7 linked regions of the Macaca mulatta genome follow. The protein of the gene in region 3 interacts with the protein of the main gene of each other region in a pairwise test. Links are inferred from orthologs where the notes say so. Each region holds a gene or a part of one and is shown on either strand. Other genes may lie near its edges. The genes, in order: KIF5B, KIF3C, CDC5L, EXOC1, SFR1, TRIO and BICRAL.

Region 1 (4,148 bases), on a different chromosome or scaffold from region 3:
GTGAGCCACCACCCCTGGCCAGATCTGATGTTAATGCCTTTACTTGCAGCTCTGCCTTGCTTGGGGCCTCTCAAAACACTGCTTCATTGAAATGTTATCAGAACTCCACACCTCCCAGAAAGCCCCGGGTTAATTCCATCTATTCTTTTGTTTGGTGAGATGCTCTAAGGTTCCTTGAGCTTGAGCTCTTCTTCAAGGCAGTGGATTAATAAACCTGAATCTGTTGAACTCTGAATTGGTTTCTGGAGGTATTAGGATGATTGGGTGAGCACAGGGAGCCCTGGAGGTTTTCATAGTTCAATCCTTCGTTTTACAAACAGAAATTGGGGACCGGGGGAGGAGGTGTTACTGCAGTTCTTCCGCAGCACCTCAGAGCCACTTCCTCAGATCCACTTCCCCGTGGAATTTTATGGTACTCATCTTCTAAAACTAGAAGGCAAAATCAGCTATGGAGTGGTTTTCCTTGGATATGTAATGCACAAATTTACCTAGGCCTTTTATAAAGACCATCTTTATGCTCCAGGTCAGTCATTCCTCCAGTATTGGGATTGATGAGTTCCGTATGTTCATTGCCGGCGAAGTGGCGGGAATTCGCTGAACTGCGTGGGGGCGGCGTGGGTGCGGGCTGGATACAAGGCACTGGGCAGATGAAGTGACAGAGATGCTGTGTGAGGGGGGCTGAGGGCTCTTCCCCCTCCTCACCCTGCTGTTCCACATTTCTTCAGCAACCTTCTTCATTCCTCAGGAAAATTTTCCTTTTTCTTTCTTATTCCTGTCTCCCTACATCCCACTCTCAGGAAAGAGTTACCCTTCATTGAAATCTTACTTTTTCTGGCAATGCGCTCTAAAAAGGTAGACCAGGAATGATTCCCGCCGCCAGAAAAAAATGAAAGCAACACTTTCTTTTAGGAATATAGTACTTTATGTTTTTAATTTTAAAGCTGGTCAAGTGACACAGCGGGAGTGGAGAAGAAACAAATCTCTGGCTGTCATCAACTAGTTGCAAACACCACCGCACCCGGACCAGCCTAGTGATTTATTTAAACAAACCACATTAAGTAGTTAAAGCAAACCCTTTCTCCCCCAAAGAAAAGAAAGCTAAGTACGTCTGCCTTAGCTCTGGGGGATTCTTCGGCGGCTGGGGATGGCGACTGGGAGCTGCCGCCCTGCGTCCCCAGGCACTTCTGCGAGACTGGCAGTGCTGTAAAATTTGAATCTGCGACTCCTGGCCAGGAGTGGTGGCGGAACCGGCGGCGCGGCCGCAGAGACCGGCTGCGAGCTCGGGCACGGATTGGTCGCCGGGCCTCCCGGCCCACCGCGCCTGCGCACTCCTCCTCCCGCGCCGCCCAGTCGCCCAACGGCGGCCTCAGGAGTGATAGGGCAGCAGCCGGCCAGCCGGCCAGCGGACAGCAGAGCGGGCGGACGGGTAGGCCCGATCTGCTCTTTGCGAGGAGGAAGAAGGTGGCCGCTTCCCGGCCCCCAGAACCTCCCCAGCCTCCGCAGCACGCCCAGGCCGTCGAGGGCGTCGCTGAGGAGCCGCAGACGCTCTCCCCGGTGCCGCCGCCGCCATGGCTGCCATGATGGATCGGAAGTGAGCCTTAGGGTAACGGCTGCCGGCGCCGGCTCTTCGAGTCCCGGCTCCCCGGCCGCCTCCGCCCGGGGAAGCGCTGCGCAGCGCAGCTGACTGCTGCCTCTCACGGCCCTAGCGACCCCAGGCCCTTAGCCCCGTCGCGCTCCCCGCAAGACTAAGCAGCCGGGAGTGGCTCCCGGCCGCCGGCCCCGGCTGCGAGAAAGATGGCGGACCTGGCCGAGTGCAACATCAAAGTGATGTGTCGCTTCAGACCTCTCAACGAGTCTGAGGTGAACCGCGGCGACAAGTACGTCGCCAAGTTTCAGGGAGAAGACACGGTCGTGATCGCGGTGAGTGACCCCCTCCGGCACCCCTCCTCCCGCTTCTTCGGGCCGGGCTGTGCAGAGAGTTTAGGGAAGTGGCAGGGTGCAGAATTGAAAGGGAGCAGCGGTGTCCCCAGCCCTCCCCGGCGGGGTTTGCCGGTTCAGATAACCCAGTGGAGGAAGACTGCGCAGCTTCGCGTGCGTTCCGGGATCGCCCCCACCCCGGTCTTTGGCGCCGGGAGACGGGAGGCGCCCAGCCTCAGCCCTGGACACTCCCCCACCTGCGGCAACGGAGGAACGTCCGGGGAGCAATTTCAGTGCACGTTTGTCTGCGTTTCTGTGTGTGCAATTACGGATATTGGTGTTTTGGATTAACCCCAAATTTGCCATTCAGAAAATATGTAATGCTTATATAAAGTTCAGCTGGGGACATTGAGCTGTGAGACAAGCCGTATTATGCTTTAGTAAAGATACTTAGTTTTATAGAAACATAACCAGTCCTTGAACCGTGTTGTTTCCCCCTGGGAGAAGGAAAAAGCACCAAACAGCTACAAATATTATCTACACCTCAAACTTTCACCCACCACTTTTTGAGTGGTGAATGACTTTTCATGTTAACAATTACAAATGGTAAATGGATGATTGTAGAAAGAAATAGTTGAGCTTTTTTTTTTTTTTTTTTAATAAATCGGAATGATCAATTTTGTTTAATCTAGCAGACCTAGCCGACTTTGGTTGAGTCAGATAAGTGCTCCGAAAGACAAATCGCACTCTTGCTAGGTTTTATGGGATAACAGCCTAGGAAAAAGTATCAGCTATTTGTTTTTATATCAGACAAAGTATTATAAAAACAAGCTTATAAAAAAGATAAAAATTGACCAGTATTAGATTCATACTTCTGCAATTAAGGTCTATCTTGAAGAAAATTGATCTTTGGTAATCCCAAGAATAGTGAGATACTGTTTTTTTGTAATGTAAAACATAACTAGAGTTGAGTGATCATTTGAGACCAGAATGTGAGGGTGTTTTAAGGTCTGATCTCTGGCATTGAAAGGTCTGAGAAAATAGCACTCCTAGTTGAAGGAGATTAAAAATTAATTGTAAAGTATGGCATACGAAACAGTGAACTGTGACTAAATTATGTTGATCTTTCTTGGCAATGCTATGTAGTAGAACTAACTTTCTACATTGTTACCGTAGTATGAAATTTTAATATGTTAATTTTTCCTCTAATGTCATTCTGTAGTTAATAATTGTATGGGGCTATTTAATTTGGAAATAGGGCAGAGGTCACAGGAGATGGGACAAGGATGATTGAAAGCATTGACACTGAAGACAGACTAAAGTTCTTTAGGGTTTTGATGTGAAAGTTTCTCCAAAGTTCAGCTCCGAAAAATGAATGTCTTAGCTCCTTGGTAGGCCTTTGGCAAACAAGTCATTAGGCCACTAACAACTGCCAACTATTACTGTGTAAAGATTGTCAGGCCAGTTCTTTGTTAACAAGTGCACAAGAAAACCTCTTGTGTAAATGACATCATAGGTTGGCAGAGGCGGAGTAGGAGTAGTTAAGTGCAGTAATCCTTTTCCTTTAGGATGGTATATTTTACATATAGTCTGGAGGCTTGCAAGGCCTAGATTAGTTGTCACACTTGAGGCCATTAGTTTCTTAAGAGTTTTTGTAATTTACAGTACTCAGCTTCAGCAGTGGTTGGCACATAACAAACCTATTTTTCCTTTTACACTTGTCTTAAGAATGTCTTATTTCTTCAGATTTTGTGTTTACACAGATCTGTAGTTATCACTATGATTCTTTTTGTTGGAATGCTAAAATTTAGGATTCATAAAATGTATTAAGATTAGAAGGTAACCTTTGATGAGGCCCAGATATGACATAAACTATGAAGAAAGAACTAAAGGAAAATGAATAAAGGAAACATACATTTATTCTAGGTTTCCATTGGGAAAAAGTTGCTTATAAGTTCTGTTTCAAAATTTCAGTACTCTATATAAACGGTAATATTAGGAATAAATGTATAGGTTGTTGGTTTGTGAATCCATATTGAACAGTTAACCTTTAGGTAAACTGATAAGCATTTTAGTTGTTTTTTGGTTGGTTGATTTTTTTTTTTTTTGAGATTTTTTTGAGTTGAGTTTTGCTCTTGTTGCCCAGGCTGGGAGTGCAGTGGGGTGATGTCAGCACACTGCAACCTCCGCCTCCCAAGTTCAAGCGACTCTACTGCTTCAGCTGCCTGATT
Region 2 (4,077 bases), on a different chromosome or scaffold from region 3:
CTCTGCCACTTCATAGGATGGAACCTTGGTCATGTCACTTCTCTGAGCTTTAATTCCTCACCTCTGAAATGGGGATTTCAGAACTGTGACCCTGGATGGCCAAAGGATCAAATGAGATCATGTATGGATCATATATGTGGAGCATTTTGTAAACTGAAGTACTAACCAAATGATATTATTAAAACGATGTGAGGTTTGAAGATGCTGCAGAGGGAGGAAGCCTCAGGGGAGGAGGCTGTGAAGGAACGAGAATCCACATTCACGAGAGGCTGCCTGGCCATCCCACAGACCTGACTGATCCTGAGGCCACCAGCAGGAAATGACCGCAGCAGGTCAGACCACCCCAAGCTCACTGGCTTGAGAGACCGCCTGTCCGCTTTGCTTCATGTGTGTGTGCACGCGCATGTGTGTGTGTGTGCCTGTGCATGTGCCTGGCAGTCCGGTATCAGAGCAATTTGCCCGGCTGCTCTGGGGGCACATTTGGCAGGAGAGCAGTGTGTGGTGCTGAGGGAGGATCTCCGCTTCAGGCCAGGTCACAGACTCTCAAAGAAGAACCTCCCTGCCAGGATTCCCTGCAGGGACTTCTCAAGTGCCCAGCTCCTCTGGAGCCCTTACCTTGTACTTGGCCGCAAGCAGCTCTGTGGCCTGCTGTTCCCGCCGCAGGTCCTCCAGCATCTTCTCCTTCTCCTCCAGCAGCTTCTGCTTCTCCTCGCTCACCAGGCTGCGGTCATCCTGGATGGCTGCCTTCTCCTCCTCCAGCCGCTCCTTCTGTTCCTGCAGGTAATTCTCCATATTCTTCTCCAAGGCTGACTCCAGGATGGGCTGGGGCGGGCGGTTGTTGTTGATGTTGTCATCCTCCTCTTCTGCCACCCAGGCCTCAATCACCGGGCCCTCAGGGTACCCAGGCGGGGCGGACACGGCCTTCTTCCTGCGGCTGCTCTTCCTCCGGGGCCGCTTCCCCAGCATCCCCCTCTTCTCCAGCTGGGCCTTCAGGCGGGCAATCTCCTCTTGGAATTCCCGCAGCAGCGTGTCCTTCGGGTCCTCATTCACCCGGGGCTTGTTCTTGATGTTCTTGGCTCGGTTGGCAAAGCGCAGGGTGGAGAGGCTCTCATCGTAGCTGTGAGAAGCTGGCCCCAGTGTGGCTACCATGATGGTCTTGGCATTTCCCCCTAGGGAGTCCTGGAGCAGCCGGGTCAGCTTGGAGTCCCGGTAGGGAATGTGGGTGCTCCTGTTGCCCGCCAGGGCAGCAATCACGTTGCCCAGGGCAGATAATGACAGGTTGATTTTGGAGGCTTCCTTAGGCCTCTCTCCACCACCACCGCCACCACTGCCTCCACCGCCACCACTGCCACCCGAGGATGGTGTGGCTGCCCCTCCCGCTGTGTTGGGGCCTGCCTTGTTCTGCCTCTCACTGCCAGCCAGGTCCACTAGGTTGAGCTTGCCCACTCGGATGTGGTCCTGGCCATCAGAGCCACGCTCGCTGCACTCCACGGTGATGATAAAGATGGCATGGGAGCGGGAGCTGACCTCATTCATGTGGGTGCTGCCCACAGCCCGGGTCTGGTTCCCCAGGTTCATCACATGCTCAATCTCCTTGACATTCTTGGTGACGAAGGAGGAGAGGTCCTTGATGTAGACGCCCGTCTCAGGGTTTTCTTTCAGCTCTAGCCTCTTGCCCGGCTCCTTGGAGAGCAGGTCTCGAATCTCTTCCTGGTAGATCTCCAAATAGGAGGCCCGGACCAGGTACTGTTGGTTCTGGGAGCGGGAGATGTGGGTGAAGATGTGCTCAAAGGCGTTCGGGATGACCCCGCGCAGCTCGGGCTCCACCCAGGTCCCCTGCATGGTATAGGTCTTGCCAGTGCCCGTCTGGCCATAGGCAAACACCGTGCCATTGAAACCCTGGAGCACGGAGTCTATCAGGGGCCTCACGGTTTCATCATACAGGTCGGCCTGCTTGGAGCTGGCATCATACACAGCGTCAAAGGTGAAGGTCTTGGGCAGCTCCCCCGGGGCAGCGCGGGGGTTCCGCAGGGTCACCTGGCCCAGTTTCACGTCCATGGTAAGGATCTGCTCGTGACCAGCAGCCTCCTCCTTCCTGCTGAGGGGGCGGCACCGGGCCACCACCTTGAGGGCCTCGCTGGCCTTGGTCTTACTGGCCATCTTGCTGCTCTGACCTTCCTGCCCCCGAGCCCCTCCGCAGCCTGGGCGGTCCTGCTGTCCTGCTCGCTAGGTCGGGATCAGCGGGGCCGGCCCAGTCCCCAGGCGCCGCTCTTCAATCCGCATGCAGCCTCCTAGGGTGGGGACGCTGGGAGGTGGCCCCAACGCTGCTGCAGTCCGGGCCTCCACCGCTCTCCGGTCCTCTCTGCACCGGCTGGGAGGTGAATTAGGCAGAATCGCCCAGCCGCCGCGGAAGGAGCGCCTGCCGAGCAGCCGTGCCCGGAGCCCGCCCCATGCCGGAGCAGAGGGAGCGCTGCCGTAAACAGCTTCGGCAACAATGAGATAAAGGAAGAGGAAAATGGGATGGGGGTGGGCAGCGAGCTGTCTTCTCCTCCTTCCTCTAGGGATCCATAGCGTGGGCTGCCGGTCGTGGGCGGCCGGGGGTCCCAGGCCTCCCGAGGGCAGAGGCTCACCTGGAGTCCTCCCCGCAAGCTGGGGGATCATTCATTGCAGCCAGCGCGGCTGCTGCTGCCTCTGCCTCCGCCTTCCCCGCCGCCACTGGAGAATGAGAGAGAAAAACAGAAGGGGATGGGGCGGAGCAGCGGCGGCAAGAGTGATGTTGCCGCCGCGCTGCGGCCCCAGCTAAGCCTCCCGGCTGGGGTGGGGCAGGGGGCGGGGCCGCGGGGCGGGAGGCGCGAGCCCGGCGCGGCCCGGGTGCTGGGCACAGGGGCGCATCGCCGTGTCTGCACCCCCGCCGACCGCTCTGGGATGACAGGCTCCGGTGCCGACCCAAGTCCTGCGCCCACCAGTCGGTTGCAGCGCAGCCACCGCCCGTCGTCACCCCACCGAGCCCGAGCATGCCGGGAATTGTAGTCCCGCCTTTGTTAACCGGGTTCTGGCAGGTTGCTAATGCCTTTCCCGGTCCCCCAGTCCGAGAGGCGCCTCCCTCATCGGCATGCCACCCCTTGAGTGACTGCTGAGCTTGCACCACCCACGCCTGGTCCCTCCGAGCCACCATCCTCGGACACCCCCCTGCTCCTGCCTTTCTGCCTGCAAATGGGTGCGCGTCACCCCTCCCCGTCAGGGTGTCGCCAGGCCTCCTGGAACCGAACTCCTAAATGTTCCTTGACTCTGTCCTTTCCTCCCCCTGTCCCGGTCTACTTCTGGCCTTCCTCTTCTCTCTGCTGGAGCCGCCTTCCAGCTGATTCTCTGGCACCTCAGGTCCGCACAGGCACCCGGGGCCCCCTCGCTCCTCCTCCACCGCCTTCCTTGTGTGAAAGCCTCTCCATCTCCCGACTTCGCAACCTCACCTCCACTACTCCTCTAGAGAAAAATCTGTGTTCCAGACAGCCATTTCTTCAGTTATCCAGCGCCTGCTGAGTCCCAGGCCCCATTCTAGGATCTGGGTTCTTCCTGTCCTCAAGGAGTGCACATTCCCGGAACCTGTTTTGTTTCTTTAACTTGCTTTGCTATGCAGCATCTTTGTGCTTTTGCCCAGAAGCCTTATCACCCTTCGGCACTTAGTGCCCTGCCACTGGGGCAGTTCAAGCATCTCCTCCTCCACGAAGCCTTCCCTTAGCAATTTTTTTTTTCCTATAGTGAAAGAGGCACAGAATTTACCTAAAACAAAACCTGGATTGAAGTTCCAGTTCTGATGACCATCCAACGGAGTGGATATCACTCCTCTTGTTCCAGCCTTAGTTTCCTCATTTACTTTTTAAAAAATTCGAGGCAGGAAAGAAATAATTAACAACTACTTCATGGAGTGGTTGGGAGGCTCAAATGAAATAATGACTCATGAAGTACTGTACCACGAGAAGTCCTGTCCTGGCTTGGATTGCCTGACATCTCCTGCTTCCTTGAGTATCCTGGAGAGACCATGTCTGTGCTTAGTGTTCCTCTATGGGAGTCTTAATCTTT
Region 3 (3,501 bases):
GTATCTTCCACCTCCCAGGCTCAAGTGATCCTTCCACCTCAACCTCCCAAGTAGCTGGGACTACAGATGTGTGCCACCATGACTGGCTAATTTTTTATTTTTTGTAGAGAGGTGGGTCTTGCCATATTATCCATGCTGGCCTTAAACTCCTAGGCTCAAACTGTCCTCCCTTTGCCTCTCTCACAAAGTATTGGGATTACAGGCGTGAGTCACCACGCCTGGCCCTTTTAGTCTTTTCTAGTGAAAAATTTTGTTTTTATTAAGATGAAATTAAAAGAAAAAACTACTGATCCTTTCACTTGATGGGATAGATACACTTTTATAAAATCTTTATGTTTTAGAAGATAGCAGATTTTCCCTATTTCTTGAGAATTTTAGTTTCTTTAAATCTCATATCTGAATATTGTAGGGAAAGTATTTTATGGTTGTCAAGGATTTTTAAAAGTTTTCTGCTCTGTTGACCTTTAATTTCTGTTGATATGAATTGTTACAAAACAACAGCTATCGGCCATTGTAAAATAGGATTTTCTTAGATGTACTCCATTGTATTTATTCCTCAAATTAGGACTTTGCTTTAGGTAGGCTGTACAAGTAAAGAGACGGAACAGGAAAACTATTGATTTGGAAGGAGTACTAAGTGGGGGAGGCAAGAAAGACGCAGAAGGGGAGGAGGTATTCCTGGAGCTTTGAAAGACTGCTTCGAGCCTGTCTTTAGGCGTCTTAATCATGTTTAGATGTTGCTTGTCAGTATTAAAACAGCCTTTTTAAAAAACTTGTGAATTTTAAGAATCATGACAATTTAGTAAGTTTTAAAGGGAAATTTAAATACTATATTTTAATATTATTTCTTTCATACACATTGTCCTTTTTACATACTTGTCATACTTTTTCCTATGTGCACACACATTTTCATTGAATGTTCATAATATAGGAATAGTTTTTCTTTTGACATTATGTGGAATGTTTTGCTTATCACAGTCTTCATACTTATATGTTTTAATATTTAGTACTTCAATTACTTAGGGTATGTTATTAATAATTTTATTGCTATTCTGAGTTTGCTTTTATCTTGAATATAGTAAGTAATGGTGTAGGGGACCACTTAATGCATATTGTTTTTGCCTTTTTTTAGTTCTTTTCTTTTCTTTTCTTTTTTTTTTTTGAGATGGAGTCTTTCTCTATCGCCCAGGCTGGAGTATAGTGGCAGGATCTCAGCTCACTGCAACCTCCACCTCCCAGGTTCTAGTGATTCCCCTGCCTCAGCCTCCGAGTAGCTGGGATTACAGGCACACGCCACTACGCCTGGCTAATTTTTGTATTTTTAGTAGAGACGAGATTTCGCCATGTTGGCCTGGCTGGTCTCGCACTCCTGACCTCAGGTAATCCACCCACCTTGGCCTCCCAAAGTGTTGGGATTACAGGCGTGAGCCCCTGCACCCGGCTTTTTTAGTTATTTTCTTAGAAATGAGGTTGGTTTGTTCAAAGGGTATGAGTATTTGTATGAATTTTAATGTTTTTGCCTATATGTAACTTACAAATGTCTTTTCTACCTTGATCCATGACAGTGAAAAAGAAGGAAGAGATAGAAAAAAAGACAAACAGCATTTGAAAAGGAAAAAAGAATCTGATTTACCATCAGCTATTCTTCAAACTAGTGGTGTTTCTGAATTTACTAAAAAGAGAAGCAAACTAGTACTTCCTGCCCCTCAGGTAATCTGATAAAAGCAAATTTTTCACTATGTGAATTTATATGCTTATATCATTTATTCAGCAAATGTTTGAAGGCCTGTGTGCCAGGTTTGTGCTGGATGCTCTTAAGAAATTCACAGTTTAATGGGTAAGACACACATAAAAACAAGTAATTGTGGGCTGGCTGCGGTGGCTCACGCCTGTTATTTTAGCACTTTGGGAGACCAGGATGGGCAGATAACCTGAGGTCAGGAGTTCAAGACAACAGGAGTTCCTGCCCAGTGTGGTGAAACCCTGTCTCTACTGAAAATACAAAAATTAGCTGGGCGTGGTGGCACACACCTGTAATCCCAGCTACTCAGGAGGCTGAGGCGGGAGAATCACTGGAACCCTGGAGGTGGAGGTCGCAGTGAGCCAAGATCGTGCCTCCGCACTCCAGCCTGGGTGACAGAGTGAGACTCTGTCTAAAAAAAAAAAAAAAGAAAAAGAAAAACCCACAAGTAATTGTGATATAGTATGATAAGATAGCTTCAGCTTCTCTGTATAAATTATTGTATCAGGTCTTAAACTGCTCATATGATGGTTTGGTAAGTAATCGTCAGCTCTTAACATTTTGTCAACAGGTTAGGATTTTAGGCTTCTTTTTTGTAGCTGACAAGGGTAAAGGTGTGGTTTGGCTTTGTGGACTTTAAGCTACCTTCTCCCAGGGAGTGTTTTGTTGTGTTTTGCTTGTCTTTTTTGAGACAACAGTTACGAAAATCAATGTAGGAGTTGTGGAGAAAAGATACAAACATTCTTTCATTCAGCTTGTTACAGGCTGTTTTCTTTTTACTTATTCTAGTTGATCAGAAACATGGGACCTTAGAGTAACCTTTTTTTTTTTTTAATGAAACTGAGTCTCGCTCTGTCGCCAGGTTGGAGTACAGTGGCGCCATCTAGGCTCACTGCAACCTCTGCCTTCCGGGTTCGAGTGATTCTCCTGCCTCAGTCTTCTAAGTAGCTGGGACTACAGGCGTGCGCCACCATGCCCAGCTAATTTTTGTGTTTTTAGTAGAGACAGGGTTTCACCATATTGGCCAGGATGGTCTCGATTTCTTGACCTCATGATCTACTTGCCTCGGCCTCCCAAAGTGCTGGGATTACAGGTGTGAGCCACTGTGCCTAGCTAACCTTCTTTTTTTTCTGTTTTGAGTAGTACAGCTTTGTAGAATTGGACAGATTTAATGGTGCAGAAGAAAGGACTTAGGAGACCAGAAGAACTCTTTCCCCCTGTGAGCACATTGGCTGCATCAACACAAGATTCTTGGGCATAAACTAATTTTGTCGTATCCTGACATTCCTAGTGGGGATATTTATTAAATTGAAATTTTGTCTTTAATTTTTTTCTTAGTACACCTTAGGATATTTATTTTGGTAAAATTACTAACACAACACCTTTAGATTTTCTTAGGGATCTTGTGGCTCACTGGAGTATTTCTGTGTGATATTTTAATTGGTTTTCAGTCTTCCTCCTCCAATTTTGTATAAATACTGCTATTTTACATTCTTGGTACATTGATACGTTGATTTGAAAGAATTTCAGTATAGAGATACAGCCTTTGTAGCTTGATTTTATATCAAATGTGAATTTTCCCCTCACATTCTGTAAGGAAGACTTTCTAAAGCTATATTATGGAAACTTTCAAAGCCACAAAAAAGATGAGTACTACCGAGAACCCCTGATACTAATCACACAGCTTTAGCAATTCGTTTTTCTGGAATGTGGAAATTTAAAGATGTGTCAGCTCTCAGTTAAAATAGGGTTTTTTTTTT
Region 4 (3,501 bases), on a different chromosome or scaffold from region 3:
CCTTTTGTAGAAATCTCCCTTATCGGATTTCTTGACTTTGACCACCTTAACCTGCACAGGGCGTTCAGTTGTCACTGTTAAGTAAAACACACACTTTTATTAGAAATATTACTCCTTTCACTCATTCTTCTTTTGCTCCTTGCAAGTATAGCTTTCAGGTGCCTAGTAGCTGATACTAAAAGAGGTGTAATACTTTGCAACAAGGGCTTTGACTGAGGAAAGCACAGAATCCTAATAGAAGCATCTCAGTCAGACTAGAGGTTCAGAGTAGACTCCTTGAGAAATAAAGGAATAATATATTAATAACACATTAATTCAGACCAGTTTTAAAGAAAAGTATGAGGTAAAAATCTAAAGAATGATTGACATATGTAAAGTCTGCGAGGCTTGAAAGAGCAAAATAGCATTTCAAAGAGCAACAATATATTTACATATAAAGGTCTTACTATGTTGCCCAGGCTGGTCTTAAACTCCTGGGCTCCAGCCATCTGCCCACCTCAGCTTCCCTCAGTGCTGGAATTACAGGAATGAGCCACTACTCCTGGCCTAATAATTTCTTTATAGCAATGCAAGAATGGCCTAATACAGATACATTATAATTGAGTGAGGTCATTCTAAAGAGTCAATTTATCATTTGAAAAACCAAGTACAATTATACACTACACTAACAAGGGAGAAAATTTTATGATACTATCAATGATATAAAAAGCAGTTGATAAAATTCAACACCCATTCATGATTTTTTAAAAAAATTGGAAGAAATCAGGAATAGAAGGGAACTTACTTAACACTGTAAAGGATAGCTATAAAAACCCTCTACCAAATATCATGCTTAAAAATGAAGTCATTCTCTTTGAGATGGAGCCTGGATGGATAGTCCTAACTAGGAAACTAAACCAACAAAAATAAATAAAAGATATAAAGACTATAAAGGAAGGAAGAAAAATATCACTACCTTCAAAGAGTCTATAAATAATTGGAATTAATAAGAAAGTTTGGCAAGATTGATAGATATCCATATAAAACACCAACAATTCATTGTAGAATTCTAACAATATATGATTTTAAAATGTATTAATGTTAAAAAGAGCTTTCATGACTATCAAATAAAATCTAAGAATAAATCAATACCCAGGAATAAATCCAACAATATACATGCGAAACCTTTAGAGAAAATGATGAAACTCATAAAAGTTATAAAACACCTAAACAGAGAACTGTACCATGTTCATCGACACAAAAGATTCAATACAATAAAAATGTAAGTTCTCTCCAAATTGAACTATAGGTTCAAAACAATTCCAATCAAAATCCCAACAAAGTCTGAAACTTGACAAGTTGTTTCTAAAATTTAGGTGGAATAAAGAACAAAAACAAAATAAAAATAAGATATAAGATGATAACCAGAAATGCTCACACACACCACGACAGATGTCGACACAGGTGAACTAAGACTAAAATGTAAAAGACAAAATTATAAAACTTTTAGAATTTAGGAAAATATTTTTATGACTGTACAAAAGATATCCGGGAAGGATCTTTAAGACACCAAAAGGGAAAGCCATAAAGGATTAATTAATTTCATTTAATTATATTAAATTATAAATTTCATTAAAAGGCATCATAAAAAGTGAAAAGACAAGCCACTACCTGGGATGCATACAACCAACAAAAGACTGTAGAAAGATTATAGAAAGAACTTGTACAAATCAGTAAAAGGACAAGCAACACAATAGAAAAGTGAGTAAAAGGCTTAAACAGGTAAATTTCATAGACAAGAGAATGCAATGACCAAGAAATTCATGAAAAGATGCTCAATCTCATCATTATAGGGAAATACAATTTAAAACCACAATGAGATACTATTTCACTACCACCAGATTGGCAACAACTAACAGCCTGTCAAAGCCAAGTGGGAATTTGTTGACCCAACAGTTTGTTCAATTATAGAGACAACTGGGATATTCAAAACAAAAGGAAATATCTCCTAAATAACAAAAGGATACAAAACAAGTACTCTTTCTTACTAAATACCCACCTGTGGCACATAAAAAACAGTTCTTTTTCTTTTTTCCTGCTTTGCAGACATTCACAATGCTCAGCAGGCGTTCATCATTTGGTGTAAAAATGTCTCTTTGTAACGCATGCTTGATCGCTGTCATCTTTTCTCAGCTGAAAAATTTGGAGTATAGATATTAAGCTCACTCTGAACATCATTCCACCTTATACTTCTGAATTTATGATTTGAAAATGATTTTTGGTTAACAAGCCTAGGAAAAACGATTTACTATATGAATACACCTATATCACAAAAATATAAAGCTGGAAGTTTGGAAATAAAATTAGAGAACCAGTGTTATCAAAATCTAAAATGTTTGGAAATGCTCACCGAGTATACACACACACACCCCCCCCACAAACACAAGATTTAAGAAAAAAATCTTCAACTCCCTGCTCAATCTTTAAATAGTTTTCTACATAAAGAACCCTTACAACTCAACAATAAAAAGACAAATAACCCAATTAAAAATTGAATAAAATACCTGAATAGACATTTTTCCAAAGGTATACAAATGGACAATAAGCACATGAAAACATGCTTAACATCACTGGCCACTAGGAAATGCAAATCAAAACCACAATGAGGTGTCAACCACTTTATACTCACAAGGGTGGTTAAAATAAAAATGATAGAAAATAGTAAGTGTTGGTGAAGATGAGAGGAAACAGAACTCTTGTACGTTGCTGGCGGGATTGTAAAATGGTGCAGCCACTTTGGAAAACAGCTTAGTGGCTCCTCATAAAGTTAAACATGGGCTACCCTACAATCCAACAATTCCACTCCCAGGAGAACTGAAAACATAAGTCCACACAAAAATTTGTACATGAATGTTCATGGTAGCACTATTTGCAATGGCCAAAAAATGGAAATAACAGAAATGTCCATCAAATGATATATAAGTAAAATGTGGAATAGCCACACAATGGATTATTCGGCTACAAAAAAAAAAAAAAAAAGGAAATGAAGTAATGAAACATGCTACAGTATTGATGAATCTTGATAAGATTATGCTAAGCAAACAAAAGACCACGTATTGTATGATTCCATTTATATGAAATATCCAGAATAGGAAAATCCATAGATACAGAAATATAAGTGGTTTTCAGGAGCTGGAGAGGAAGGTGGAAAGGAGGATTGACTGCTAATGGGTATGGAGTTTCTTTTTTGGGGTGATGACAATGCTTTTCAACTAGATAGTAATGATGGTTGTACAACCTTGTGAATATGCCAAAAATCGCTACATTATATAACTGAAAAGGGTGAACTTTATCATATGTAATCTCAATAAAATTGTTATAAAAATAGGTTTCCACTTATCTCCTTTATCTTACCTAACTCAGCATCTTTTCAAACATCAACTTAAGTTAAAATAATTTTTAATCTCTATTTTATTTTTCATATACATATTTGTGTGGATATATATTACTATTTTTTCAACG
Region 5 (4,051 bases), on a different chromosome or scaffold from region 3:
CCTGTAGTCCCAGTTACTAGGGAGGCTGAGGTGGGAGGATCACTTGAGCCCAGGAGTTCAAGGCTGCAATAAGTTAGGACTGTACCACTGTACTCCAGGCTGGGTAACAGAGACCATGTCTCTAAAAAGAGAATGAATAAATAAAATACACTTTTTACTCCTAAATTTTAAAATACATTCAATACTCCTAAATTTTATTTTTAAAAAACCCTAAAATTTCACGAGAACAAATGAGATATGCTATCTCATCATTTATTCCACATAGTTGGGGGAAAATGAGCTATTGCATATATATGAATTTTCCAGGTAATAAAGGTTATCTCCTTCCATGTACTCAAGTTCTATTTAATTCAACCTATATGAGTTGAAATCTAAAATCTAATATATATTTGTTTTTTTCTCAAATAATATGGCTGAATCACATTAATTATTTGGGGGAGACACAAGATCATAAATAAAATACCTTTTATTGTACTCTACAGCCCATTTTTAGTTTTACTAATTGACTGTCAGCTTTCACTTCTGTTCCCGTCGTACTTGCATCTAACATTTAATACTTCTAATATTGCTGTGGGCTAGAAACTAGAAAGAAAAGTTTAACTGCATATTAAATAAGAGCTGAGATTCTTAAAAAGTTTTACCTGGTGTTTAAGGGCCTTTTCTACTCTAAATCTGGAGTTGAATTAAAGTTGTTGGAAGCCAGGTTTCTGAATATTTGGCTTATTGCTTATTATGATAAAAAAACAAACACACACCTTATTTTCTATTTTTGAAATTACTTTCCTGCAATTTATGTAAAAATAAAAATGATACAATGGTCCCGAAATTCTTCTCACCTTTGATCTATACATTTTGACTAGTTTTAGCCTCCGAAGAAGGTCTTCTTTCTCCTGAACCTGCTTCACCAATTTGGCTTTTTCATCGTTTAATCTTTGTTTAGGAAGATTCTCATTCATGAACTCATTTTGGAGAGCACTGCATGATCCAGAATGAAGTGACTGAGATTCACAGACACTGAGATTCTTCAAAGTATTTTTCAAATTTGTATTTTCTTCAAATTCACTATCTATGTGTTTAAAACTTTCTTGAAATTCCAAACAGTTTTCCTCTGTGGAAGATGCTGGTTTGTCTGAAAAGGTCTGATCATTTTCTTCACTCTCTACTTTAAGACGTTTCACCACATTGTAACAGGAATTAAATGAAGATCTTGTTTTCCTTAATCTTTCTCTAAGTGTTGCACTCATAGGCTATAAAGAGCATAAAACATTAAAAATGTGAATCAAGAAAAACATTCTTGATGTCAATAAATCACCAGAAATAAAGGCCTTACATTTCTGTGCTAGACACCACTAGATGGCTTTCTGTCTCCACATCTAAAGAAGGCATCACAAAATGTCTTTAATTTCTGGAAGCTCCATTTGTTCTATTTCCTTTTTACTTCAGCAAGATCAACACCTTTCTAAAAGTGTTGAAAGGTTTATCCCAGTAATCAAGGAACATTTGTTCAGTAACAAGCACATGCCTGACGGTACTCCAGGTGCTTCAGAATTACAGAGTAAGGAAAAGACCTAGACCCTGCCACTAAAGACCTTCACAATATTGCACAGATTCTAACTTTCTCCATTAATCTGAAACTAACTGAAATGAATTGATTCAAGAGGAAAATATGGAAAGGGGCTGGTGGGTGTCATATATGTGACCTTAGAAGAAAAACATAAAATTGTTTAATAAAATGTCTACTTATTTATGCTACACATTATGTTAATTAACAACCTTCAGTAGAATTTAAACCACCACTGCCACAATACTTAGAAACACACAATGGATCCACTGGAAGGACAAAGATTTTCATACTTGTTTTCGTGAACTATTTGTATAGGGAGATGATGGATTCGCAGAGGCCTGAGGAGTGCTAGGTAAAACCACAGCTGAGTCTGACGAACTTTCCATCTTGAAAGTGAAATCTTGGTTTTTCTCTAAAAAAGAAAAATTATTAAATGAGAATCAAATTAGCCACACCTCTCCATAGTCGATTTTTATCAAAGAATATATTTTATTGGTGTACAAAGCATCCACAAGTAAGCCAGATATTTCTTCTAATTTCACTTTGTAATTCATTATTGCTCTTTTTGCAGTTTTCCATTTACCTTCCCACAAAGGGACCACTAAGATTTTCATGACACATCAACCAGCTAGTATCTCATAGTCACAACTCTCCTTGTTTTCTTTTCATCCACCAAAATATATTCAAATTCTGCCTTGGAAGAAGGGAATAACAGCTTTAATCAGGAATTCTTTATGATGACAGCTTCATAATTCAAGAAGATATAGCCGAAACTTTGACTCAAAAACAATAGGACCTGAATGTCACCCATCCTGAACTCTACAAGCTGTGACTAGAACCCGTTACCCTGCCGGCCCGAGGCATAAGAAACACAGCGGAGATGCATTTACGCCCTTTTAGTTTAAGCAGCGAATAGGCACTGAAAAGGAGAGTGGACTGAAATTGCTTTCTCCGACAAAGGCATCAACTTTTGAGAGGCAAACCAGGGGCGGGAGTAGTCCCCTCCTTCCCCCCATTGCAGAAAGCCCACTAGATCCCCGAAGACCCCATGGATGAGGTGAGGTTGAGTTCCCCAGACCCGGAAAAGGAGCTCAACTCGACTCCACAGCACACTCCCGGGGAAGCCCAGGTCTCAGGTAACCCCCTTCCCCTCAGCTGAGTACCTCCCTCCGCCATTCCCAGCGAGAGCAAAAAGCGCGCGCAGCTGCGGCCGTAAATCGATCCTGTGGCAGGGGCGGGGCCGTGCGGCTGGCGTAGAAGACGCGCAATTGGCCAGACTGACTAACGCGCGAGACGCCGCTTCACTCAGCGACTCAGAGCGGCGGGACTGCGCGCGCGCCTCCGCCAGCCGGCGGTTGGGGCGGGGCTTGGCCACACGATAGGCGGCCTAAACGCGTGATTGGCAGAATTAACCGGTGCGCGCGGCTCTCCCTGCCCAGCGCCCGAGGGCAGCGGGAGTGCGCGCGCGCGGCTGTGATCCGCAGCAGGTCTTCGGGGCGGGGGAAGCTGAGCTTTGGAACGACCAACCGATCCTGAGGGGGGCGCGCTTCCGTTGGCGGCTTCTCTTGTCTTATTTTCAACCGCCTTCCCTTCAGGCTTCCTTGTTTTTGTGCGTCTGTGAAGTGCGCCTGAAAGTGCCTCCCCCTGCCTCCGCCAGCCCGCCGCCTCCATTCTCTGGCTCCAGTCAGTCTCCTCTCCCCGCTCGTCACAGAAAAGGCTTTCCTCAGATGTGGCGCGGCCAGAAGCCGCACGGCTGGCTGCATGTTAGATTTACAGCTTGTGGACTCCCCAGAGGCAGAGACCACAAGAACAGCGTTGGGTTCCAGCCTGTTGAGAATGAAACATGTTAGAAATCTATCCGAGAGTCCTGGCACTTTAGCTGAGCTCATCGCTAGCTTTTTTGGCTGCCGCAAACTCGGCGGTCCCGTCGCTAGGTTTTTTTTTTTTTTTTTTTTGTAAACAACCGTTTCTGTACCTCAGTATTCAGGCTTCTTAGCGTGACCTCAAATCTTTTACTCAAATCTGAGGGAAAATGTAGCCCAAGGAAGTTTGTTGTGGCGCAACACAGGAAACAGAACAATCATTACATGAGATTGTGTCGGTGCAAAATTCAGATGTTTGAGACCGATAGGGCCTTTGCCGGCCACCGGGCAGCAGCATCCCCAGTCGAGAAAATCCACCCCCCCGACCCCCCGCCACGCTTCCAGTGTGGCGAGGTTCTGTTGCTACGCGACGACAAAGTTAGCTACACTGGGTGGAGCACTGGGTTTAGGGAAAGAGTTGTGTAACTTCTGAGTCGCGTGGAAGTTGGGAATTTCCAGGGGCTAGTGTTTTCAGTCCTCTTATTGAATGGCCGTTTTAAACATTGATATCGTCTCTTTACTATTAATAACATCTGACAGTAATGGCTTAGAAGTGGCCAGAAGGGAGTTACCTGAGCCTTAAGCAGTCAGGTATAATAATTACAGAACCTGAGGACTACTTAAG
Region 6 (4,198 bases), on a different chromosome or scaffold from region 3:
TGTGTCCCTTTGAGGTACCCCCACCACTGCTGATGTTGATTAAAAATTTTTCTTTTCACGGGGGGAGCAAATTCCTCACCTTTTGGCACAAGGTGCTCCAGGCACACCTTGAGTATTTCCTGTTCCAGTCCTAGAATCAGCCATTTCCTCAAGGAGCTCTGGTTCCTTTTATTGGAGAATGGTATTAGAAGCAAGATCAGAGTGCTAGGTGTATTCCTTGCTACAGTGTTGTGTCTAGGCCCACTCAGCTGACAAAGCAAGGAGATACAAGTATGTGTACTACCCTCTATCTACAAATCTCTGTACAGACCCATTATATATATATGAATACATAATATAGATATAGACCCCAAACATGAGTCCATACCGATGTCTCCAACTCTAATTCTGTACCACAAGGATCACTCTAGCCTCTTCCTGGCTGTAACCTCCCACTCCAACGGTGAAGATTTGATAGCCACCATCCACCATTTATATTTGTCTATTTCCAGTATACTCGTGTGGTGGTTTCACCACCCAGTTGCTTTTCATATCTCTTGCTTCCGTCTCTTGCTTCCGTTTCCCCCCGACAGTGGATCCTTTCACTCTCCTTGGAGCCGGGGCATAGGCGTTTTGAACTAGAATATTCGTCCAGCGCTGATTTGACACGGATCTTCTGCAAAGGACCATATTTTTTGGCCTCCCCAGACCTCGTCATCTTCCCCATTCATTCTGGCGGAGTAAGGACTGAGGAGCCGTGAACCCGAGGTTCAGCAGCCTAAAGTCCCCTGGGAGATGGGGATACACCGAGAGGAATCCCATCTTACAGGAGAGCCGTGTACCCGTAGGAGTATCGTGGACTCCAGGACTGGAGTAGATAACCTGTTATCAGGCCCTCTCTGTTCACTCAACAACTATTAAGAAGCCCCCTCCCCGAGCCAGGGCCGGCGCTGCGCCCACGAGGGAGGCACCCGCCCCGGACCGCGTCACCCCGCCCTGCGGGCTAGACGACGAAACGCTTCGCCGCTCAGGGGACAGCGCTCCGGTGCAGGAGCCAGGGCCCCAGTGGGGGGCGCAATGCCGGGCCTGAGAAGGTCCGCTCGGGCTGGTCAGAGCTTTCCTGATCCTTTCAAGGCTTGCAGCTGCCTGGGTGAGGGAGACCGAACCAAACCGAACCTTCCTGCAGCCTTCCGGCCGGCCCCGCGGGCGCCCAGCAGCCCGACACGGCACCGCCCCTCCCGCCCCGCTCCTCCCCCCAGGCTCCGCCCACCGCCGAGCCCACGCTCGGCCCCTGACGAGGTTCGCCGGAAATTCCCGAAGCCCCTCTTTTTTTTTCCTTCCTCTCCGTTCCCTGCTCTCCCTTTTCCTTTCACCCGGGTTCCCTCGGCCGTGATTTCCCCTCCCCCTCCTTCCTTCCCCATTGAAATCAAGATGGAGGCTCGCGGCAGTCGCCGGCGCCCGTGATCCCGGAGCTTTCGCCGGCCACGGGCCCCCGCCCTCGCGACTGCGCGTCCGGGCGGCGCGCACTGCTGCCAGCGCTCCGGCCGGCGCCCCGGAGGCCGTGGCTCCGCGCCCCCGCCCCTCGGCCAGCTCTCGGCTACCGGGCGGAGTCCTCGTCTATGTGGGCGCGCTCCTTGGGCCGAGCCGCCGCCGCCGCCCCCCGCCGCCCCGGGGCTCTGCGTCCGCGCGCCGGGCGCGGGCAGCTGGGTGCTCGGCGCCGCCAGGCCCGGCGCAGAGCGGGCGGCACGCGGCGCTAGGGGCGCGGGGCCCGAGGCGGGCGCGGCCGCGGGCGCCGCCGCAGCCATGAGCGGCAGCAGCGGCGGCGCCGCCGCCCCCGCCGCGTCCTCCGGTCCTGCCGCGGCGGCCAGCGCGGCTGGCTCGGGCTGCGGGGGCGGTGCCGGCGAGGGGGCCGAGGAGGCGGCCAAGGACCTGGCCGACATCGCGGCCTTCTTCCGATCCGGTGAGTGCAACAGCGGCTGGCCAGCCCAGCGGCGCTGCCCCAAGCGTTCGGCCGATCCGCCGCGGAGCTGCCAGGCTCCGGCCACCACGCGCCGGTGCCCACCCGTCCGTTGGGGCCCGCACGCTCTCGCCTGGGGCCACTGCTTCCACGCGCCGGGGCTGCCCGCCCCACATCCGCGTGTCCCGCTGCCCGCGCAGCCCGGCGTGCGGCAGCTTGGCCCGAACGCCACCACTTCGCCTTCCCTACACCCGCCCCTCGTTCCAGGGCAGAATCCCCTGGTCTCCCGCTCCCGGCAGCCGCGGCTTCGCGGGCTGGGGCGCCGGCTCTTTGTCTCTTTCGCTGGAGGACCGAGGAGGCGGCGGCGGAGATGGCGTGGGCGGAGGCTCTTACCCCGGAGACCGAGCGGACTGAGCCGGGGCCGGTCCGGGACGGGAAATTGGTCTCTGATCTGTGCCTGTTTGTGCCTGATTTGTACCTGGACCCTCCTCGATCCCAGTAGCAGCTGGGTTTCTTTGCTTGGCCCGCTAGCCTGTCATCTCCCCAGCCTCGGTCTACACTTCTGTGAAACGGGGCAGTTACGGCATTCACTGCCCAGGGAATGGGAACGGTGGCCGAGCTGAAGCTCGGAGGGCCGGGAGGCGCGGTGAGCCATTGTCTCCGGGGACGATCCGGGAGGGTCAGCTGGGAACGTGGCCCCGGGGGGGCAGTGCGGGACTAGGGCTCGCGGGGCACTGCATGGGTGGCGTGGAGGTGGAGGCAGTGCTAGGTGGCCCCGAGTCCACCCCGGCGTGGAGGAGGTGGCCGCGGGAGAGGCGCGGGTGGCGACCGGTCCGTGGGAGGGGCGCCGGGTTTGGTGCGCAGGGGGCGTGACAGGGCGTCCCCGGTACCCCAGCGGCGGCGCCTCCTCCCGCCCCGGCCCAGATCCCGCGCGAGCCGGGCCCGCGTCCCCGTGTCCCGCGTCCCCGCGCCCAGTCCCGTCTGCTCGCGCGTCGGCTGAACAGCAGCAGCAGGAGGCGGCGGCGGCGGCGGCGGCGGCGGCCTCGGGGCCCGCAGCCCAGAGCGCAATCCTTAGCTGGCCGGGTGCGGGGCAGGGAGGATGCAGACTCTGCGTTGGAGAGCGGAGGAGGGCGGGCCAGGTCGGGGCCTGGAGAGGCGGGCGGGGGTGCTGGTGGCGGCCCCGGGGAGGACGGCAGGGCTGGGGACACCGACGGGCCAGGGGAGCAGCCCTGCCCTGGGGGACGCGCGGGAGGTCGGCGGCTCACGCTTTTCCGTGGCCTCTTTGAAAATCACCTCCCCAGATTCGGTGAGATCAGTTCCACAATCCGGGTCACAAGGAGCAATTGCAGCGGGAGGGCGATGGTGAGAGTGAGAAGTTAGCAGTGCTGGTAGATACCTGGTTTAGTACTGTCTTCCCTTGGTTGTCTTGATCTTTGCTAGGCGGGGTTATTTTTGATTCATTTTAGCAGATTGGTTGTGGCTAGGAGTGACACAGCCGACTGTCCAGTGTTAGCTTGGGGTTAATCTACTCCCCAGTGCTCACTCTCCTTGTGAGGTCCCTGCAGAAAGCAAAGGTTAGGAAAACATGAGCTCCTTCTAAAGAAAGCCACCCTCCCCCCCCCACCTTTTTTTTTTCCCCCGGTGCGACTGGCCAGGTAGAGCAGCCCCGTCTTACCTCTTAATAGCAGAACTGGGACGTATTCCATTCATGCCCTGAAGCTAAAGTCTAGCCTGTCTTCTTTTTCTACCACCTGTCACAGAATAATAGATTCTGTGCAGAATTCAGCTCCTCTACAGCTGTTAGAAAGGCTCTTCTGCGTTGGAGATGGATTTTTTGGTGCTTGTGAGACCAGGCTTTTTTACATCTCTATTATGCATAGTAGAAAAATCACTTCTGCTGCTAAGAGCCCTCCCTAAAAGACACCGAAGACTTGCTGCCTGTCGGCGTGACTCTCTCCAGGAGTTGTCGTCTGCTCTTGGCTTTGCTTAGGCCTGTGCTGACCCAGCCGCTGGGGCTCCTGTTCATGTTCCGTTTGGGTCAGAACCAGGTAATGTTGCTCACTGGCTTGTTCCTTTCTTCCCCCCTCTGAAATGACAAACTTAACTTTTAGTTGTTTCACTTGGAACCAGGAGCCAGGGCAGAACTTAAGTAGGTATCATCAGATGCAGCGTCCCATTCCGGGGATAACCTGGAACGTCTTTTTAAAAGTGAAATCTCTTTTGGGCAGCTCTGAGTCCCTGACCTAGATCTTGGCTCTAGCA
Region 7 (4,042 bases), about 1.7 Mb from region 3:
CCTGACACACAATTAAAGGACCCCATTGGCCCTAGCAAATGATGGTGGAAGAGGTGATGTTACAAATCTCTATTTAAAAACATCTCCCAAGTTAATTCTGATGCTCAGATTTGGAAACCACAGGTGTAGGGGGAAAAACACAGCTTTCGTTATCCAATGGCAACTTTACTAAAAACTGCAAGACCTCGAACAATTACTATACTTCTGTGAACGGTAGTTCATTCCCCGGTAGACAGATCATAAAATCACTATTTCAGGGCTGATATAATAGAAATTATACAAAGCATCAAGCACAGTTTCTGGCATACAGATGTTCAATGAGATAGGTCTTATTAAATGGTCTAAAACATCCACTATGTATATTTATAAACACAAGGACACACCTACTGGCACCACTGTGTTATTTTTCTATACTAGAAATTAACTACTTACTTTCCATGTCTGCGGACTTCTAGAGAAATCAGAGCTTTACAAATCTTTCCCCTCCTCTTTTCAGTAACAATGTAAACGTTAAACCCCTCCCCCATCTCTAACACAGATACTTACTACCAACAGATACTTACATGGATGCTTTTAGGAAAATAATGCAGTTTTGCTTTTTAGAAGAGTTTCAGAGTGTTTTAAAGCATATTTAACTTTTCAGATCAGCGTTCTAAGAAACTTTTAATTCACTGCCATTTGAAGTAATATGAAAGCCAACAAGAAGTTTCAGAAAACTGGAACCCATCACCTTCTCAATCTGACTAGTAAATGTCTCCTCATGGTTGTTTTAGAGTAAAACTAAGAAACGAAGCGTAGGGTGCCCACAAGAGAACCATGTTACGGGAAGGCAGACAGACAATGTCCTGGACTCTTTTTTTAGTTTTGTAACCTGGTTGGACTCTACTTCCAATAACTGGAGAATGAAGGAAAAGCCTCAATGCCCTGCCCCCAAGCCGGGCCAGAGAAGACAAAGGCGTCCACTCTCAGATGGCAGGAGAGAAATGGCAGAAGCGCCTCACCTCCAATTTTGACTGGGAGGAGTGGGGGTGCGGGGTCAGGGAGGGAACCCATCAGCCGCGAGGCTCGACGCCCAGTCCCCTTCTTCCATCACAAGTGGGAAGGAGGAAGAAGCTGACCCCAGCCCTTCCCGCTCCGAGCTGGCGGCCTCGTCTTTTGGGTCTGGGGCCGTGGGGAAGGAGAAGGCCGCGCGACCCCAGTCCCATCTCCAGAATTCAGCACCCTGCTCTCGGCTCCCGCTGGCCCCGGGCCTCGCGGCGCCCTGGTCAGCGACATGTCCTCGGAGGGCGCCGCCCGCGCCGCGAGAAAGATGGCGCCCGCCGAGCAACTGCGCCACCAGCCCTGGCGACAGGCCAGGCCCAGCGCCATCTTAGCGCCTTCCAACCGCACCCCCCACCCAAGATCCCGCATTCGGGGCGACTCGGGGGGCGCGAATAGCATCAGGCCCGCGCGCACTCGGCCAAAAAAGCGCCGTCCCAGCCACACAGCTCTTCTGGCCAGCGCGGCGGACAACACGGGCCTCGTAGGAAACGCCCGGCTGGGCCGCGAGTCCTCCGCCCGGCTGGGGACTCAGCCGGACCCGGCCGCGGATCCTCCGCGTGGCTGGGGGCTCGGCCGGATCCGACCGCGGATCCTCTGCGGTGCTTCAGAAGGCAGCGAGCGGCTGGGAAAGGGCAGTCCCGCGGCAGGTGCGCGCCGCCGCCGCGGGCTCGGAGCGGGGCCAGGGCGACTCGCCGGCCCCGAGCTCTCCCCGCCGCAGCCCGGACCTGCTTTCCTCGCCGCGGCCGCCCGCAGATGCGGCGGGAAGGACGAAGCCAGGATGAAAAATAAACCCCGTCTCCGCCGCCTCCCTCCCCACCCTTTCCCCTCCCCCTCCCCAGACGCGGGGTCCATTTTGCCGAGAAGAAAGAAAATGTGATTCACACCCTAGAGCTTCCGAGAGAGAAAAGAAACGAGGGGGGGAAAACAGAGGGGAGGAGATTGGAAAAGCTTATTTTTCTTCCTCGCCCGCCGTCACTCCAGGCCCTCCCTGCCCCCTGCTCGCGGCCCCGCCGCGCCGTCTTCCCCTCGCCGAGCCCTGCTCCCTCCTTCCCGGCTCCCGGCGGCTCCGGGGGGCGGAAAACACACTCACACTCGCGCACACAACTAATTTTAAACCGGCTCAATCAATGAGTCATTAAAAGGCTTCCCTCCCCTCCCCTCCCCACCACCAACCGCCACGCCACCCCCTTCCCGGGCTCTCCCTCTCCCCGCTCCAGAAATTTGCATCCGCGGAAAAGAGAAAAAAAAAAAAGGAAAAAGAAAGGCGCCGGGCCCCCACCTCGCCGAGGCGCCCCCGGCCCGGCCTCGCCGCCCCCTGCCCGCCTGCGCCCCCGCCCGAGACACTGAACTTGGTCTTCCCGGGGCCCCGGCAGCGCTGGGAAAGGCATAAACACTCGATTCCCCTTTTCTCCGTGTCCATTAAACATCCACCCACCACCACCATCACCCACCCACAAACCCACCCCCCCCAAAAAAAAAAAAAACACAGCCTTAGCCAATAGCTCTCTGGGCTGAAACCTAATATCCTGGTTTTGGCAACTCGGTGTTTAATTTGCTCCTCTTTCTTTTCTGGCTGGAGACAGATCTCCAGCCCCCCCTCCCTCGCTTTTCCCCTCCCCGAAGGAAAGAGGCAGAGGAAGGAGGTTGTGTGTTTTTTTTTTCTCCTTGAAATTTTTATCACAAAATTATAATACACTCAAAGGGAAACTCACCGTCATGAAAAAGCAGTGCCTTGTCAACGGGGTTTCTGCGCCATCGCAACAGGGGCGGCGGCGGCGGCGGCGGCGGCGGGCGCGGGGCGCGGGGCGCGAGCGCGGGAGCTCCCGGCCGAGCGGCGCCGGCCACACGCGCTCCGCTCTCTCTCTCGCTCACCCCCGCGCCGGGCGGCGGGCGCCCGCTCCCCGCGCCCGCCCGGCCTTCATGCTCTGCGCCCGGGCAAACCGCTCGCCTGCTCCTCTACCTCCAAACTTCGGTTCTCGCCTGGCAAAAAATGTGGAGATTAGGATTTTTTTAATTAAAAATTTTTTTTTTTTTTTTTTTTTTTTTTGGTAAATCAAGCTCCAAGGATGTTCATTCCTGTTTCCTTTGGGATTCTTTTTAACTTCAGAAATGTACTGGTTTATTCAAGAAAGTTTTATTTGGCTTTAAAAAAAAATTATTAAGATCCACGAGGTGCGTGCTAATTCTCTTGCAGGCTCTCTCTCTACACACACACACACACACACACACACACACAGTTTTAGCTTGACACGCGAACGGGGAAGATTAAAGACAAAAAAAAAAACCTACAAGATTTGTTTAGAACTCTAATTAGAGCAAGCCTCAGTAAATACGTTTTGCATATGCTTTTTAAAAACCAAAACCACTTTTAACTTAGTTATTAGGCAAATAACTGGTTCGTCCTAACTTTTAAATGTACTAAGCTTTCCTTTGCAACACTCTTTCTCCATTCCAAAATTCGTGAAACCTTACCTGTGAAGCCCATATGTGAACATTAAAAAGGAAAACAAAAAACTTTAGTGACCAAAAGGAAGGTGAGGCAGAGTAAATCACTCTCAAAACATTCTACTGCCTTCTCTTTATGTAGATACCTTTTATCTCCATATTTGCGGAATTTTCATTACATAACCCCCTCATTCTTAAAAGAGAGCTAGTCAATCTTTTAACATTCTTTGGTCCAAGTATAACTACCACCCATTTTTTAATCTGAAATCTCAAATTGTTGAAACTTCTCTGTATCCAAAGCATTTAAATTATGTGGCCCAGGGCGGGCGCGGTGGCTCACACCTGTAATTCCAACACTTTGGGAGGCCGAGGCGGGTGGATCACCTGAGGTCAGCAGTTCGAGACCAGTCTGGACAACATAGTGAAACCCTGTGTCTATTAAAAATACAAAAATTAGCTGGGCGTGGTGGTGGGCTCCTGTAATCCCAGCTACTCGGGAGGCTGAGGCAGGAGAATCGCTTGAATCTGGGAGACAAAAGTTGCAGTGAGCCGAGAT

The links.
Region 1: the proteins of CDC5L (region 3) and KIF5B interact in a two-hybrid assay, tested with the Homo sapiens proteins (2 studies listed by BioGRID and IntAct). The link is inferred for Macaca mulatta from reciprocal best matches to the Homo sapiens genes CDC5L and KIF5B.
Region 2: the proteins of CDC5L (region 3) and KIF3C interact in a two-hybrid assay, tested with the Homo sapiens proteins (2 studies listed by BioGRID and IntAct). The link is inferred for Macaca mulatta from reciprocal best matches to the Homo sapiens genes CDC5L and KIF3C.
Region 4: the proteins of CDC5L (region 3) and EXOC1 interact in a two-hybrid assay, tested with the Homo sapiens proteins (2 studies listed by BioGRID and IntAct). The link is inferred for Macaca mulatta from reciprocal best matches to the Homo sapiens genes CDC5L and EXOC1.
Region 5: the proteins of CDC5L (region 3) and SFR1 interact in a two-hybrid assay, tested with the Homo sapiens proteins (2 studies listed by BioGRID and IntAct). The link is inferred for Macaca mulatta from reciprocal best matches to the Homo sapiens genes CDC5L and SFR1.
Region 6: the proteins of CDC5L (region 3) and TRIO interact in a two-hybrid assay, tested with the Homo sapiens proteins (2 studies listed by BioGRID and IntAct). The link is inferred for Macaca mulatta from reciprocal best matches to the Homo sapiens genes CDC5L and TRIO.
Region 7: the proteins of CDC5L (region 3) and BICRAL interact in a two-hybrid assay, tested with the Homo sapiens proteins (2 studies listed by BioGRID and IntAct). The link is inferred for Macaca mulatta from reciprocal best matches to the Homo sapiens genes CDC5L and BICRAL.

The regions. Positions count from the first base shown.
Region 1 is NC_133414.1:33,415,978-33,420,125, reverse strand, and holds the start of KIF5B (kinesin-1 heavy chain), read left to right. Parts: upstream 1-1,348; 5' UTR 1,349-1,794; coding exon 1,795-1,920; intron 1,921-4,148. UniProt on the Homo sapiens protein: Microtubule-dependent motor required for normal distribution of mitochondria and lysosomes. Can induce formation of neurite-like membrane protrusions in non-neuronal cells in a ZFYVE27-dependent manner.
Region 2 is NC_133418.1:99,013,693-99,017,769, reverse strand, and holds the start of KIF3C (kinesin-like protein KIF3C), read right to left. Parts: upstream 2,801-4,077; 5' UTR 2,161-2,800; coding exon 616-2,160; intron 1-615.
Region 3 is NC_133409.1:137,702,699-137,706,199, reverse strand, and holds part of CDC5L (cell division cycle 5-like protein), read left to right. Parts: intron 1-1,565; coding exon 1,566-1,710; intron 1,711-3,501.
Region 4 is NC_133410.1:77,615,709-77,619,209, forward strand, and holds part of EXOC1 (exocyst complex component 1), read right to left. Parts: intron 2,173-3,501; 5' UTR 2,163-2,172; coding exon 2,039-2,162; intron 75-2,038; coding exon 1-74.
Region 5 is NC_133414.1:116,280,848-116,284,898, reverse strand, and holds the start of SFR1 (swi5-dependent recombination DNA repair protein 1 homolog), read right to left. Parts: upstream 2,801-4,051; 5' UTR 2,741-2,800; coding exon 2,728-2,740; exon of another isoform or gene 2,643-2,727; intron 1,977-2,642; coding exon 1,855-1,976; intron 1,248-1,854; coding exon 837-1,247; intron 1-836. UniProt on the Homo sapiens protein: Component of the SWI5-SFR1 complex, a complex required for double-strand break repair via homologous recombination. Acts as a transcriptional modulator for ESR1.
Region 6 is NC_133411.1:15,573,321-15,577,518, forward strand, and holds the start of TRIO (triple functional domain protein), read left to right. Parts: upstream 1-1,398; 5' UTR 1,399-1,782; coding exon 1,783-1,939; intron 1,940-4,198. UniProt on the Homo sapiens protein: Guanine nucleotide exchange factor (GEF) for RHOA and RAC1 GTPases. Involved in coordinating actin remodeling, which is necessary for cell migration and growth. Plays a key role in the regulation of neurite outgrowth and lamellipodia formation.
Region 7 is NC_133409.1:139,355,109-139,359,150, forward strand, and holds the start of BICRAL (BRD4-interacting chromatin-remodeling complex-associated protein-like), read right to left. Parts: upstream 2,801-4,042; 5' UTR 2,754-2,800; intron 2,028-2,753; exon of another isoform or gene 647-2,027; intron 1-646. UniProt on the Homo sapiens protein: Component of SWI/SNF chromatin remodeling subcomplex GBAF that carries out key enzymatic activities, changing chromatin structure by altering DNA-histone contacts within a nucleosome in an ATP-dependent manner.